4 separate regions of the Mus musculus genome follow, and all the other regions are reported to be linked to region 1. The links are microRNA targets in miRTarBase. Many come from high-throughput screens and were not tested one by one. Region 1 holds a microRNA gene; each other region holds the end of a gene's coding sequence.

Region 1 (3,000 bases):
CAAAACAATAAAGGAGATTGACACGAAGACTAGAGAGCCACGGCTGAAGTTCTTTGGCGGCATTCGAGTTCCAACAGCTATTGTCATTTGTACAGAGATGTTTTTCTCCAGATAACTCAAAATATCCTTACCCCTCAATTCTGTTATCATGACAGCAATAATATCTCCCGTGCCTGTAATGTAAAACAAATACACAGACTAAAGTGACATCTGAAATTCATAGACACATCAAATAAATATACACATATGCTCCATAGAGAAATTACCATAATTTTCACTAAGGTTTATAGATTCCAGTTCAACTGACATGAGGCTGCAGCTGTGTAAACTGACAGGCATGAGAACATGTACAGTGCTCCAAACAGGTAACGCATAAAGCAACTGTGGTGTTAACAATGCACAAACTGCCTTACCGGTGCATTAGAAGCACTGTGAAAGCAGCCACCTGTGACTAAATCAGGTTAAGTCTTCAGTAGAAAACCTTTCTATAGCAATCAATCTGGAAAGTTCTGACAGAGAAGCACTGTCATTTACAGTCTGAACAGGTGGTCCTTGCACTACTCATCCTCACACGCACTGCTGAGCAAGGACTGCTCTAAGAAACAGAAAGAAGGGTACTTCTTAGGGCACACACTTGGCTATGGAGTGACAAGTGCCGAACGGCAACATCTTTTACCAACAACCTTTGAAACTAACTTTGGTCTTCTGTCTACAGTAAAGCTCCTTCCAGGGCACTTCTGGAGCTCAAACGCAACAATTTTCCCACCCAGTTTGGAGCCAGCATCTCACATTGCCTCGGCTAGCCTCAGACTTGAGTTTTATGTTAGTTTTCCACCTTGTTTAACCATGCCCAGCGCACTCAAATCCTCTAGGCAGGCCCAAGTTTCAACTTTCTGGACTACTACCCATAATGATACCTAAAACCTTCAGTTCCTAAAAGCTGTTCAGAGTTCTGCCCACAGGCACAACTTTTATAAGTTAATTACAAGGATGGTTCAGTTGTGTTTTCAAGTCCTTTTCTCACATGGCTTCAAGGGCCTGTTTTAAGTCAGAGTGAGCAGCTACTCACCAAGGTCACTTTTGTGAGTATGAAGGAGGATTGTGCATCCAAACACAAAATACCCTCTCAAAACAGCAAGCAGAGACCCCAGACCTGACCTTTTGAAGGCTCTGTCAACAAATATTAGAAACACTTGTTTTGATTTCTTGTTACCTTTAGCAGTCAAGATGAGACACAACAGAAACTCAGTAACAGAAGTTTTGAAAAAAATATAGCTCAATGGAATATATATTTGCATAATACTGTATTCAAAACGGTTTATTCACTTTATTAGAGTAGTAGTTTACCAGTTTATTTTTGCTTAAAAAATCTATAAACAAAAAGGAGACAACAAAATTAAAACTAGCATTATTAAGTTAACATCTGCCTCTGGTGAGTGAGTTAAAAAGAATCATAAAAGAATGCTAAACCAGTTTAAATTTCCATTTAGAAACCTTAAGTTTGTGCTTTTACAATGTTGATCAACAGGCATGATCTGTGGTGTTAAGATACCAGGTATGGCTATAAAGTAACTGAGACGGATCCCACAAACGACATATGACAATCAGTCTCATTGCTTTATAATCACACCAAGTACAATTGGTTTTAGAAATCAGTTCTGAGGCTCCCTCTTGAAGACTCAAGCTGGAAGTGGGGAGAGCTGCACAGGTAGCCAAGGCAACCAATCCAGTAATTTCCTTAACCGAACACTAAATGGGCGCGTCAACTAATCTCAACAGGAAGCTGTTTGGGAAAGAAAAATTTAATTAGTTCAACACTTGTCAATATTCACTGTTAGGAGGACAAGAGTGAATAGATCTCACTGTAGCTTTATCATCCTAGCAAAAAGAGGAGACTGGGCAATGTTGCCAAAGGAGACTGAAAATGATCAAATAAAAAAGTACAGCAGCACATCTGATATTAGTGAAGGCAGTGATCTCTTACAGAAGGTGATGAAGCAAACTACAAACCCTCCTAGGAAAAAAGTTTCTTTCTCCCCAACATCTAGAGCTGGGCTGGGTTCAAAGAGCCTAACAAGATGGCTCAGACATTTACAAATGGGGATGGGACTAAAGAGATGGCTAAGAGCACTGGTTGATCTTGCAGAGGACGAGGTTTGGTTCCCAGCATCAATATGGCAGCTCATAACTACTGTAACTCCAATTCTAGAGGGAACAGACACTCTCTTCTGGCCTTCGAGGGCTCTGTACACATGGTGCACATAGACTCATGCAGGTATACACACACACACACACACACACACACACACAATAAAAAAGTAAATAAACCTTAAAAACAAAACAAAAAACTCTTGGGAGAGTTGGTGCAGATTCAGGAGGGATGATGACAACAGAGGAAACTTAACCCTCAGGATAAAACTAGGATTAGAGTAGCAGTAGCTGGTAGGAGAGAGGGGTTAATTAGACTGAAGTAATGGAAACATTAAACAGATACAAAGAATGTGACCAGATCACCCCTATGCCTGTGTTCTGAAACACCAAGACATGGCTTTGGAGTTCAACAATCATGCAGCTATGTGTTCCTTTTCTACTGCTGTGGTTAAACATCATAGCCAACATAACGTATACAAGGAGGGGCTTGTTTGGCTTATAGTTCCATCATGGTGGGGAAGAATGGCAGCAAACTGTAGGTAGGAACTGGATGCCAAGAACTCACACCTTTTTAAAAACACTGTTAATTTCAATTATGTGTTTATGTGTGTAGCTTTGTGCATGCAAGTTATAGTTGCCTGTGGAGACCAGGAGTCACAGACCCCCTGGAAGGGGGGATACGGGCAGTTGTGAGAGACCTGTTGTGGGTGCTGGGAATTGAACTCAGGTTCTCTCCATGAGCAGAAGAATGCCCTGGAAACCTCTGAGTCATCTCTCCAGTCTCACATCTTGAACCATAAGCACTAAGCTGAGAGAACAGCAGTAAATTTTGGGAATCTTTAAACTTTC
Region 2 (3,106 bases), not on the chromosome of region 1:
CTATGGGAACCGAGGGTGGAGTTACTGGCTTTAGGAGCCATTCTGACAACCAGGTAGAAGTGACCACCTGGTTCAGCCAAAGGAGGCCAAGGTGTATAATGGATCAGACTGTGAAGACCTCAAGAAACCAAGACTTGGCCAGAGTGCTTTGAGGCAGGGAGGACACAGGCCAGGGAGATATTATTAATCTGTGTGACAACTATACCTTTGGAGACCTTTCCTGAAGTCAGCCAAACTCAATATTATGGAAAGGGCCCAGGACAGGGGTGGGACATGCTCTGCAGGACCCTGGTTTCCCTCACTAGGACAGAAGGCACAGTGCCCCTCAGCAGGTTAACCTCCTGCCTAGAGCCCCATTTCTCCCCCTGGCCTCCATCTTTGTACTGCTTGGATGCTGTGACCTTCATCTTTCTTTCCCGTAGCAGCTCTCTGTGGAGGTCACTGTATCTAGCCAGGATGTCTGTTTGGCAGCGAAAGGCAGTTGGCTGGATTAGTGTCCCCTGGGACACTCCCCTTCCTGGTAGTAATGAGCCCCTCCCACCCTCCAGAGATATTAAATGTCACCCAGGGAGAGGAGACAAAGGACTTAGTGTGATTCATGCCATAATCCCAGAATTCCAGAGGCTGAGGCAGGAGGATAGTGAGTACCAAGGCTGGCCTGGGTTATTAGCAAGCCCTGGTTTACAAAATACAAGAAGGGGTATGGGTTCTGGCAGCTAGTTCAGTCAGCAAGCAAGCTCGAAGCTCCGCTGTTTGCAGCAGAGGAGGGGCCGGTGGGAATGGTAGTATGGGCTTACCCTTCTAGAACTGTGGAGGGAAGAAACAATTCCTAGGCCATGTGGCTGACCAGGCTAGCCCACATGGCCAGTTTTAGGGGAATGAGAGGACCTGCAGAGAATCAGTCTTTCTCACTTAATGTTCATGCATGAGCATGCACATTCGCGTGCGCACACACACACATTCGTGCAGGGGAAATGATAGCAACACTGCCTTGGGGCCAGTGTGTGAGGTTCTGCACCCCTCACATCCACTGCAGCTCAATCAGGCTAGCCTGCACTAACTGGCCCTTACAGGTGTCCCAATGGGAAGGCATACCCAGGAGCAGAGAGGGGGCCGAGAAAACAGTGGGGGAAGTGGAGAGGCTGGAATGGAGTATGGACCCTATCCTCCTTTTCCTTGTCTGGGAGAAGTTAGCAGCAGACTCATTGGAGCGGCTCCCCCTCCCCTTCCCAGGAGGCCAGGAAAACCTGCCTGGGCAGCATCTTGAATGGGGGAATTGTCCTGAGAGCTACCTGGCATAAGTACACAGATGTGAGGGCCCCCTTTCAGCCACTCCCCATCTTCCCCTCCCCTCACAGCCAATGCTGGCTCTCCCATTACCACCAAACCAACCCCAGCTATGGACATCCAGCCTAAGTTTGTGGGCACCTAACTGGGACCCCCCACCCACAGTCACCCGTGCCCCCTTATCCTTTTAAAGCAGTTCTAGGGCAGGACTATGGGCTACACGCTTGGCTTCTCTTATACAACCCCCTGCCAGAGCTAAGGAGACAGAGGAGGGGCAGAAGGTGTCTGCCCCACCCCGGAGGTGCCGGAGGCTCTTGGCAGGGGCAGCTGGAGCAGTTAGCACCAGCTGCCAGTGACTCACCTCCCACCAACCCAAACAAAACACCTTGGGGCTGAGAACCAACACCCAGCCCCTCCTCACACCATAATCCCAACCACCTGACCTGACCCTCCAAATCCACACTCCTAGGGGTCCCCTAGTCTCAGAAATCTGGTCAACCCCAGCTCCCAGTCACCCTCTGGACTGAGACATATCCCCCTTTTTTTTTTATTTATAAAAAAAAAAAAGTTTCTTTTTAAATATAATTTAAGAACCCCCTTCCAAGCACCGTTGTCTGCCTCTGTTGACCACCACCAACCTCCTGTCCCTTTTACAACATCACCCCCCTTCCCTCCACACAACACAGCTTGGGGGCACTTGGGGGGAGGAAAGGAAGAAGGAACTGTCTAAGGCTGTGGCATTTCCAAGGCACTGTTCTAGAACATATCGATGGGTCCTTGTTCCCAACAGGAGATAGTGGAACCAGGTGCCCTTTAACACACAAAATCTGGACAAGAAGGGGAGGGAGGGGGGAAGGAGGAAAAAATTAACAAAATAAAAAACAGTAAAACTTCAGAACCTTCAATATGAAGGCAGATGAGGGGAGGGGCATTTACAAGGGAAAAATGATTGCCTTTGGTGGTGACAGCAAGTCAGGACATCAAAACCCAATGATTACATCACCGGGTCCTGACAGCCCCTTCCTGCCTCCTGGGACGGCATTTTCCACTCCCAAGTTGGCAGGCTGGTCACCCTTTCTCTTTGGTCTGCAGGGACATGCCCGTTGAGGTGGAAGGCGCTTGGGGAGAGAGCCCTCTGGGAAGATGGGAGGTTAGAGACGTAGGGATGTTTCTTTGCCCAGTCTTGAGGGAAAGACTCACTCTGAGTTTGGGGTTCCCCGCCTGGAGGGCACATGTATGATCCCATATGGCACGGTTCCCCAAATCCTGGGTCTCTGACCCCCTCTGTTCAAAGTGCAATCCAATGGGAAGGCTGTGACGAGGGGGAGGGGCTCATCTTGTGAGTCCCCACCCAACTCTGCCCCCCGGAAAGAAGAATCTGCCACGGTGGTGAGTCCTTGGAGGTCAGAACTGCTGGGCTGGTCCCCCTGTCCCACCAGGGGCTCCTGGCTTAGCTTGGGACTTCATATGCTGCACACTGGCCAAGATTTTCTTCTGGTGTCCTGCCAGAGTGACTCCAATTCGGAGAAGGTCCCTGTGGAAAAACAGAAGGTTGGAGGAGTCCCGGGACCAGCCAAGCAGGGAGGCCACAGGAGGAGAAAGGCAAGAGTAATCACCAAACATTTACTGAGCGGCCTCCGTAGAAGAAGGAAAGAGAGAGTCCTCAGAGAGATTTTAGGGGGAAGAAGCTGCAGAGGTTGCCTTGGAGGAGAAAGAAATACAGACAGGGACCACACAGGTAAAGAACTAGGCCTTAAATTAGGGAGCACTTTGGCTCAGTGAAGATACTGAGGAGGGACCAGGAGACCTGCCTGGCCAG
Region 3 (3,106 bases), not on the chromosome of region 1:
TACATTTCATGCTTGCCTGTAATGCACTACCAGGAGCAAGCTAAGGGAACCGTGATGTAGACAGTACAGACGGTAGCAGCAAAGTGTGTACACTGAGGTGTGGTGGAGACCCTGCAGTTAGTGAGGGAAAGAAGCATGTGGCCCCTGCAAGAAGTCAGCTCCGAGAAGCTGGAGGTCAGGTGGGAAATGGGAACAATACTGGAATAATCTATGTCATTAGTGTAGAGAGCAAAGCTGTGAGAGCGCTGGCAGCAGTCTGAGCAGAAGTGGCCAGTTTCCTCCCAGACAGCCCTGCATGGAGACAAGAGGTCAAGGTGGAGTTGGTAGGAGCTGGACTCACAAAGCCAGAGCTGCCCGGACATGATGCTGTCAGGTTTCAGGCCGTCTCAATTGCCAGAACCCTAAGCTAGAGGCCTGGGCAACACAAGCTTTTAGAATCTCCTCCCACACCTCGGTTCTACTTCTGCCTTTCCACTGACATCTGGTGGAGGGTGTAAGGAAAGAATTCTTGAACTCAAAGCCAAGAACCCACCTGTAGTGACACTCAGGTAGTCAGGGATGGGATGAGTAACCCCTTGAATGGCTGGGGACCAAGGGCCAGTGTGAGGAGTGGCCAGCCTGAGGCATTGTCAATGTCCCCTCATTAATCTTCACAAAGTATCCTTGGCCAAGGTCATGAAATTACCTTAAGACTTGGAAGGAGAGACAAAACAAAAGAAGCTGTGTGCTTAGTGTACAGTGTCTGCTCCCTCTGAGGGAGTAAATGTTCTGAACATCGGCCAGGCTCAGCTTGCTTTTCTTCCTCTCCTCCTCCTTTCTTACAGAATGGATGCAGGGTAACTTAAAAGGACTTACCATCTAATCTACTTCCTTGTCAATGTGCAACATTCAACATACTTCTATGTAGGAAAACAGAAGACAGCAGATGTAAGAATACACCTGTTTAACTTCCTACTTCCCACTGAGGGTAAACTCACCCAGGTAGAAACATGAAAAATTAGGACAAAAATCTATGTCTGAGTCTGTCTTAGCTGCCTTAGGAAAATGCCCTTTACACCCCAGCAGTCCCAGCGGCCAGCCACTGCCAGCAGCGGCTCTGCTTCTCTAAGTCTGAGCCTAGAGGCCAAGACACTTGCATGAGAACATGACTTCCTACTGAAAAAGACAATGCAGTACCACTGTGTCACACTGTGGTCTTCCACTTCCATGATCACGCCTTGGAGCAGCAGTTGCTCTTGCTTGCTGCAAGAGAGGCTTTGATCCTTGGACGTCATAGTCTGCTTTGGAAAGTGTCAGCTCCTAGCACCAAAGGGTTAATCTGAAGATCATCATTAATGAAGGAGAAAGATGAGGTTTGCATACATGTCCCCTCTCAGTGAGAAATGTTTGGGTTGGGAGACATGAATATGTACAGAAAAATAAAAGCTAGAGGTGTTTTGTTTTGTTGTTTTCCCTGATGGCTTGATTCAGTAATGAATGTACCTTGATAAGAATAAACACATCAGCTTCTTATCCTTTACTTCCTATTGTGTGAATACTTGTGATGTGTTCATTTTGCCGAGTAGAGTTCATTTCTCATCATCATTTGGGTCTCAGCTTTCTCCATTACTTTCTGCCAGACTATCCTCTCACATCCATCCCTTGGCACTGGGTAGTTGGGGATGCTCTCATTTCAGCTCCAAGGGGTTAAATCACAGCATCTCTTCTCCCAGAGATTCTAGCCAGATTCTAACCAACAGATACAGTCCCAGAGCCTTACCATTGTTTTTAACATAGGAGAAAAAGTGCATGATTCTAATGGGTGTGTACATTCCTTGCACATGGGTCAAAAGAAAACGCAGGCAATGATCTGTGAATTGGAGCTGCGCTTGCTAACATGACAACACAATTCTTACCACTAAAAAATAAATACTACTGTAATATAAACAAAACCATAAAGGACATTCAAGGTTTTAACATCTGAGAAAAAGCTAATTTACCTATAACTGAAAGTAAAAACTCCAAAACTGGTAAGGCAAACACCTGTTCACCTTGGTGTATAGATTTTGGCGACAGCAGGATCATTATACTGTCTACATTCTTCAGCCATCAGAGGTGATAAATATAAAGAAGGGAAAAAGGTTGCCAAGCCCAGGGGAAAATACTCTCTGGTACAAAGTAGATCCTAAGACTCTCTAGGGGACTCTGCACCGTCAGTACTTGGTTGAACAATGTCCATTTGCCCTTGAAACCTGGGCATCCATGGGTGGCACTGGGCTTCCTCCACAATAGCCAGCAGGATTTAAAAAAAAAAAATGTGTATCTCATTGGCCCTTCAGTCCTCTCAATGTTTCCTAAGATTTTCCAGCCAAATGTCAGTGATACACACTTCATGTGCTGGTCAGACATACACTGCTAAACTCTTACATACACACACCACCACCCTTCAACAATTGCTTGTTCAGAAATATAAACTAAATCTTCTTAGTCTAATTAGTTCTTGATTTATCTCCTAGAAAGTTAACAATGTACCTAGAATCAGTGTATCTCATTTAGCCTTCACTGCTAGGGAAAACCAAAAACCAAAAGATGACACTTGATGCACAAATGAACAATGGGCTCATGACTCCCAAAGATTGTGAAATTACTTCTGAAGGTTGCTATAATAGTAAGACAGTAGCAGCAACAGCATGAGACCTTAGACTGAGATACAATTTCATGCAAAAACAAAACTGGAGTGTCTGTGTATATGGTTTCATGTGAGTGAAAGGTGGTGAGGGTGAAGACCCTTGGCTGGTCAGGGATGTCAGAAGGTGCCCCTGCTAACTGTAAGAGCGAGGACTGGTAGAGATGTCCAGGAATCAGTCTCAGGCAAAGTCTAAGATGACAGTGTAGAAACAGACTGAAAGGAACTTATTCCCGTCCGCTTGCAGAGTAGGAGAACTGAGGGAAGTGTGGCCGCCGCTCGTTGTCCATGCCGTCCATGCCGTCGTCGTCATCTGTGGGCAGCAAACAGCGCTGTCATTTCTGTTTCTACTGTTACTCTGCCTACACTCAGAAACAGTACATCTCGTTAACTTCTCAGTAAAACTGAGTTTAAAGGACTGTGATTTCTATATACACATGG
Region 4 (3,106 bases), not on the chromosome of region 1:
ATAAGTCTCTCGTGTATAGCGCGGAATCAGAAAGGTCTGCTGGGAAGACAGTGCTGGCCCTGAACTCACACTGGCTCTACGTTAAGATGCGCCAGCACGGCCGATGAGCTGTTGACCATTACCAACATTGATTCTAGAGCAAGTACTTGCTCCTTGGTTGACTAAAATCAGTGAGGTTGTCTGGGAAATTGCTAGTACTTGTCTGACCTTTGGGGGAAACTGAGGCTAACAATGAGAAGCGCTGCAGGCCAAAGCCTAAAAAATCAACTATGTCTCTGATTCTTGATCCTCCAGGCCTGTTGGGGTTCACAGTGTTTGTTTTTTTTTTAAACAAGTTTCTCTTTCAGATTATAGTTGCTACAGATCTAGACTAAAAATAGCGGGATACTCTAGGTTTTGTTTGCCTTTAAATAAATACAAAGTCTAGGAAAAGGAAAAGATTCCACACATCTGCTTTTGTAGTGTTTTCTACCTAGCATAATCTTCATTACCATTCTCGAAACCATTACAAGCTGCATTCCAGTTTATTCTTGTAATATCTTATAAAAATGCCAAACATCTGAAAGTCAAACATGGCTATGGTTATAAACTAGAAGCACGGTCAAAGCGTACTGAGGGTGTGACTTTCTTTTAAATCCTAATAAACAGTGGTATTATTTAAGTGACATCAAGAAAAGCAGAGGAGAGAAGGCGAGAGGGGGACTCTAAGGGTAGAAAGCCACAGTGATGTGCTTTTGAAAACAGTACCTTCACCTCTAAGCACCTTCAAGGTAGGTGATAGCTAGCTCATAGGCACCAGAAAGTCATTGTAGAAATTAAATTTACCTAAAAAGGCACAGATGAAGACAACACAAATATAAAAAGTGATTTTACGTGAGGTTTAAACCTAGTTTAAAAAAAATGCTTCCAAATATGTAAAACTGTACACGAATCCATTACATGGACATTCAGTTTAAATTCACCATTTAAAAGTATACACATTATTCTGCTTAGTCGTAAATGCATGCCAACATTAATTTATAATGTAGCATTTACCAGCACAGCACCTGAAGAGATTAGCAGGGACCAATTCCCTAGGGGAAAGGTTTTGCAGTTAATGAAATCTTTTATTACAGACCTTATCTACTATAAAGGAAATGCTGGCTCAATACACGCTACACACACTCCCTCACAATCTTAAGGGATATACAATAAATTCACTTTTTTTTTCCTACGAAAACTATATTTAATACATTTGGCAGGTAGGAGTATTCCCTTTACTCCTTTTAAAATTTCTTTTAAGAGTAAGTCACTTTCACAAAACTAAGACTCAGACTTGATTTCTGACAGCTAGAGAGAGGCAGGTGCGGCCACGGGCCAGCAAGCACATTGCTCAAGTCTGGAATTCAGGACCAGGGAAGACACTTAACTTGCCTCAAATCTCTTTGTTCACTGACTCTTAGAGGAAAAAAATAGCCTCCAGGAACCGTACTACAACTCAAAAGCCTAGATTACAACATAAAATGTGCAGTACGGTCTGCCACAAAACAAAAACACACATTTAAAAATCAGTAATTTGAGAATTCTCATCCAGATAAGTGAATTAACAGTTTTCTTTCCTTTCTTCCTTCCTTTCGTTCCTTCTGTCCCTCTCTCCCTTCCCTCCCTCTGTTCCTTCCTTTCCAATTGCAAAACCATCACTTACAGTAGAAGGGCAGTGTTTAGCTACAGACCCATAAATCTGCCACCCTCACCCTGCCTGCTCAGGATTGCAGCAGTCCACAGGCCCCGAGCGAGGCACAGACACTGTCCTCATCGATCCTCCCCCTACCCCGACCCATGCAGCATCAAGGGTTTCAGCTCTGTGTAGCGGACGCTTCTTTTGTAGTGCACTAAAGCTTCCTGCTTCCTGCTACCTCTGTAGTGTACCGGTTAAATGCTTAGGAAACTGTTCTACAGCCATACAGCCTTGAGAGCCCAGCATTCAGGGAGCAGAAGGATCAGGATTTGAGGCCAGCCTAGGCAACGAACACACTGAGGCCCTATCTCCAAACAGCAACAAAAGAAAAAAAGACAGGAAAGAAATCGTGTCATAGATGTTTAGGAATGACTTAGAAAGAAAACTAGTCATTTCTAAAACAGTCATGTCTCCTACTTTTACAGGTAACCAAATACACTTAGAATTCTCAGACTATAAAAACAAATTCATACATTAAGCAGTTTTTCCATGGATTTGTTTTTCAATTTGAGAGATACTGATGTTCATCAATAAATGAGACAGATATCCTGAAAATAATGGTAGAAACTACGAAGTATCATTTTCAGATGATTCAAGAATCAACTTGGGATGTGTGTAAACTCACAAATTTCTTCACCCATGACATCATATTCAAAGTGCTATATCTTTCTTCAGATATAAGATAAGGGCCTTAAAATCAACTTGGTAAGAAACCCCAAATTTTCCAGATGGTCAATGCTATTACTCTTAAGCCTTTATTGTTTCACAATAACCAAAAAAATCTTATGGAGTATGATTCTTATAAACTTCTTCATATATATATATGCATATATAAGTGCGTATATATGCATATATATTATGCATATATACACATGTGTACATATACGTATATGTGTACACATGTGTATATATACACATACACACACATATATATTATATATATGGGCTACTGTTAACAAAATTTAGAATAGAATAAATGTTGATATGTCAAGAGAAGAAACGAGCCACGGACAGCAGAACAGAGAGGTGCGGAGTTCTATACTATAGACCCGTCCTTGCTCTGTGCAGGAATCATCACAGGAACCGCTCCCATTCGACTGAGATTAGGGGCAGCTACCTTAGCGGGTGCCAGAGTCGGGCTCTGAGGCGCACGTTCAAAGTCTTCACTGGGGACTTGGTTATACTGCGTCTTGGAATACCCCTCCATGTTAGAGGGGGACATGGATCCCAGGGAGGAATGGTTGCTGCCAATATAGCTCCTGGCAGTGGATGTCCGACTCTTTGGAGGAGGCACATCTTCCCTGGAAAACAAAATCCCCAGCACATGCTAAAGATAACTGAGTTTCTAAAAACTTAAATTATGGATAAATACAAAAGTACAAACGCTGC

The links. Region 1 holds the annotated microRNA mmu-miR-340-5p (UUAUAAAGCAAUGAGACUGAUU, at 1,603-1,624, opposite strand). A microRNA usually pairs through its seed, bases 2 to 8, with sites in the 3' UTR of a target mRNA and lowers its output. Matches are read on the target gene's strand: a 7mer-m8 pairs with bases 2 to 8, a 7mer-A1 pairs with bases 2 to 7 and ends in A, and an 8mer does both.
Region 2: miRTarBase lists Ephb4 as a target of mmu-miR-340-5p. Seed matches in the 3' UTR shown: 7mer-A1 at 1,839-1,845.
Region 3: miRTarBase lists Akt3 as a target of mmu-miR-340-5p. Seed matches in the 3' UTR shown: 7mer-m8 at 2,103-2,109.
Region 4: the mRNA of Cxadr is a reported target of mmu-miR-340-5p. Seed matches in the 3' UTR shown: 7mer-A1 at 2,517-2,523, 7mer-m8 at 1,127-1,133, 7mer-A1 at 583-589 and 7mer-A1 at 541-547.

Annotation. Positions count from the first base shown.
Region 1 is chr11:50,068,344-50,071,343 of GRCm38, reverse strand. It overlaps Mir340 (microRNA 340), which reads right to left and starts at 1,642; the gene lies at 1,545-1,642. It overlaps Rnf130 (ring finger protein 130), which reads right to left. Exons shown (of 9, transcript NM_021540.4): 3 at 1-173.
Region 2 is chr5:137,373,227-137,376,332 of GRCm38, reverse strand. It overlaps Ephb4 (Eph receptor B4), which reads right to left. Exons shown (of 17, transcript NM_010144.6): 17 at 1,811-2,821. The coding sequence ends at 2,692. Among named protein-coding and RNA genes, the nearest start is that of Ephb4, 25 kb to the right of the region's middle.
Region 3 is chr1:177,022,472-177,025,577 of GRCm38, forward strand. It overlaps Akt3 (thymoma viral proto-oncogene 3), which reads right to left. Exons shown (of 13, transcript NM_011785.4): 13 at 1-2,978. The coding sequence ends at 2,893. Among named protein-coding and RNA genes, the nearest start is that of Gm15423, 83 kb to the left of the region's middle.
Region 4 is chr16:78,336,100-78,339,205 of GRCm38, reverse strand. It overlaps Cxadr (coxsackie virus and adenovirus receptor), which reads right to left. Exons shown (of 7, transcript NM_001025192.3): 7 at 1-3,018. The coding sequence ends at 2,754. Among named protein-coding and RNA genes, the nearest start is that of Cxadr, 36 kb to the right of the region's middle.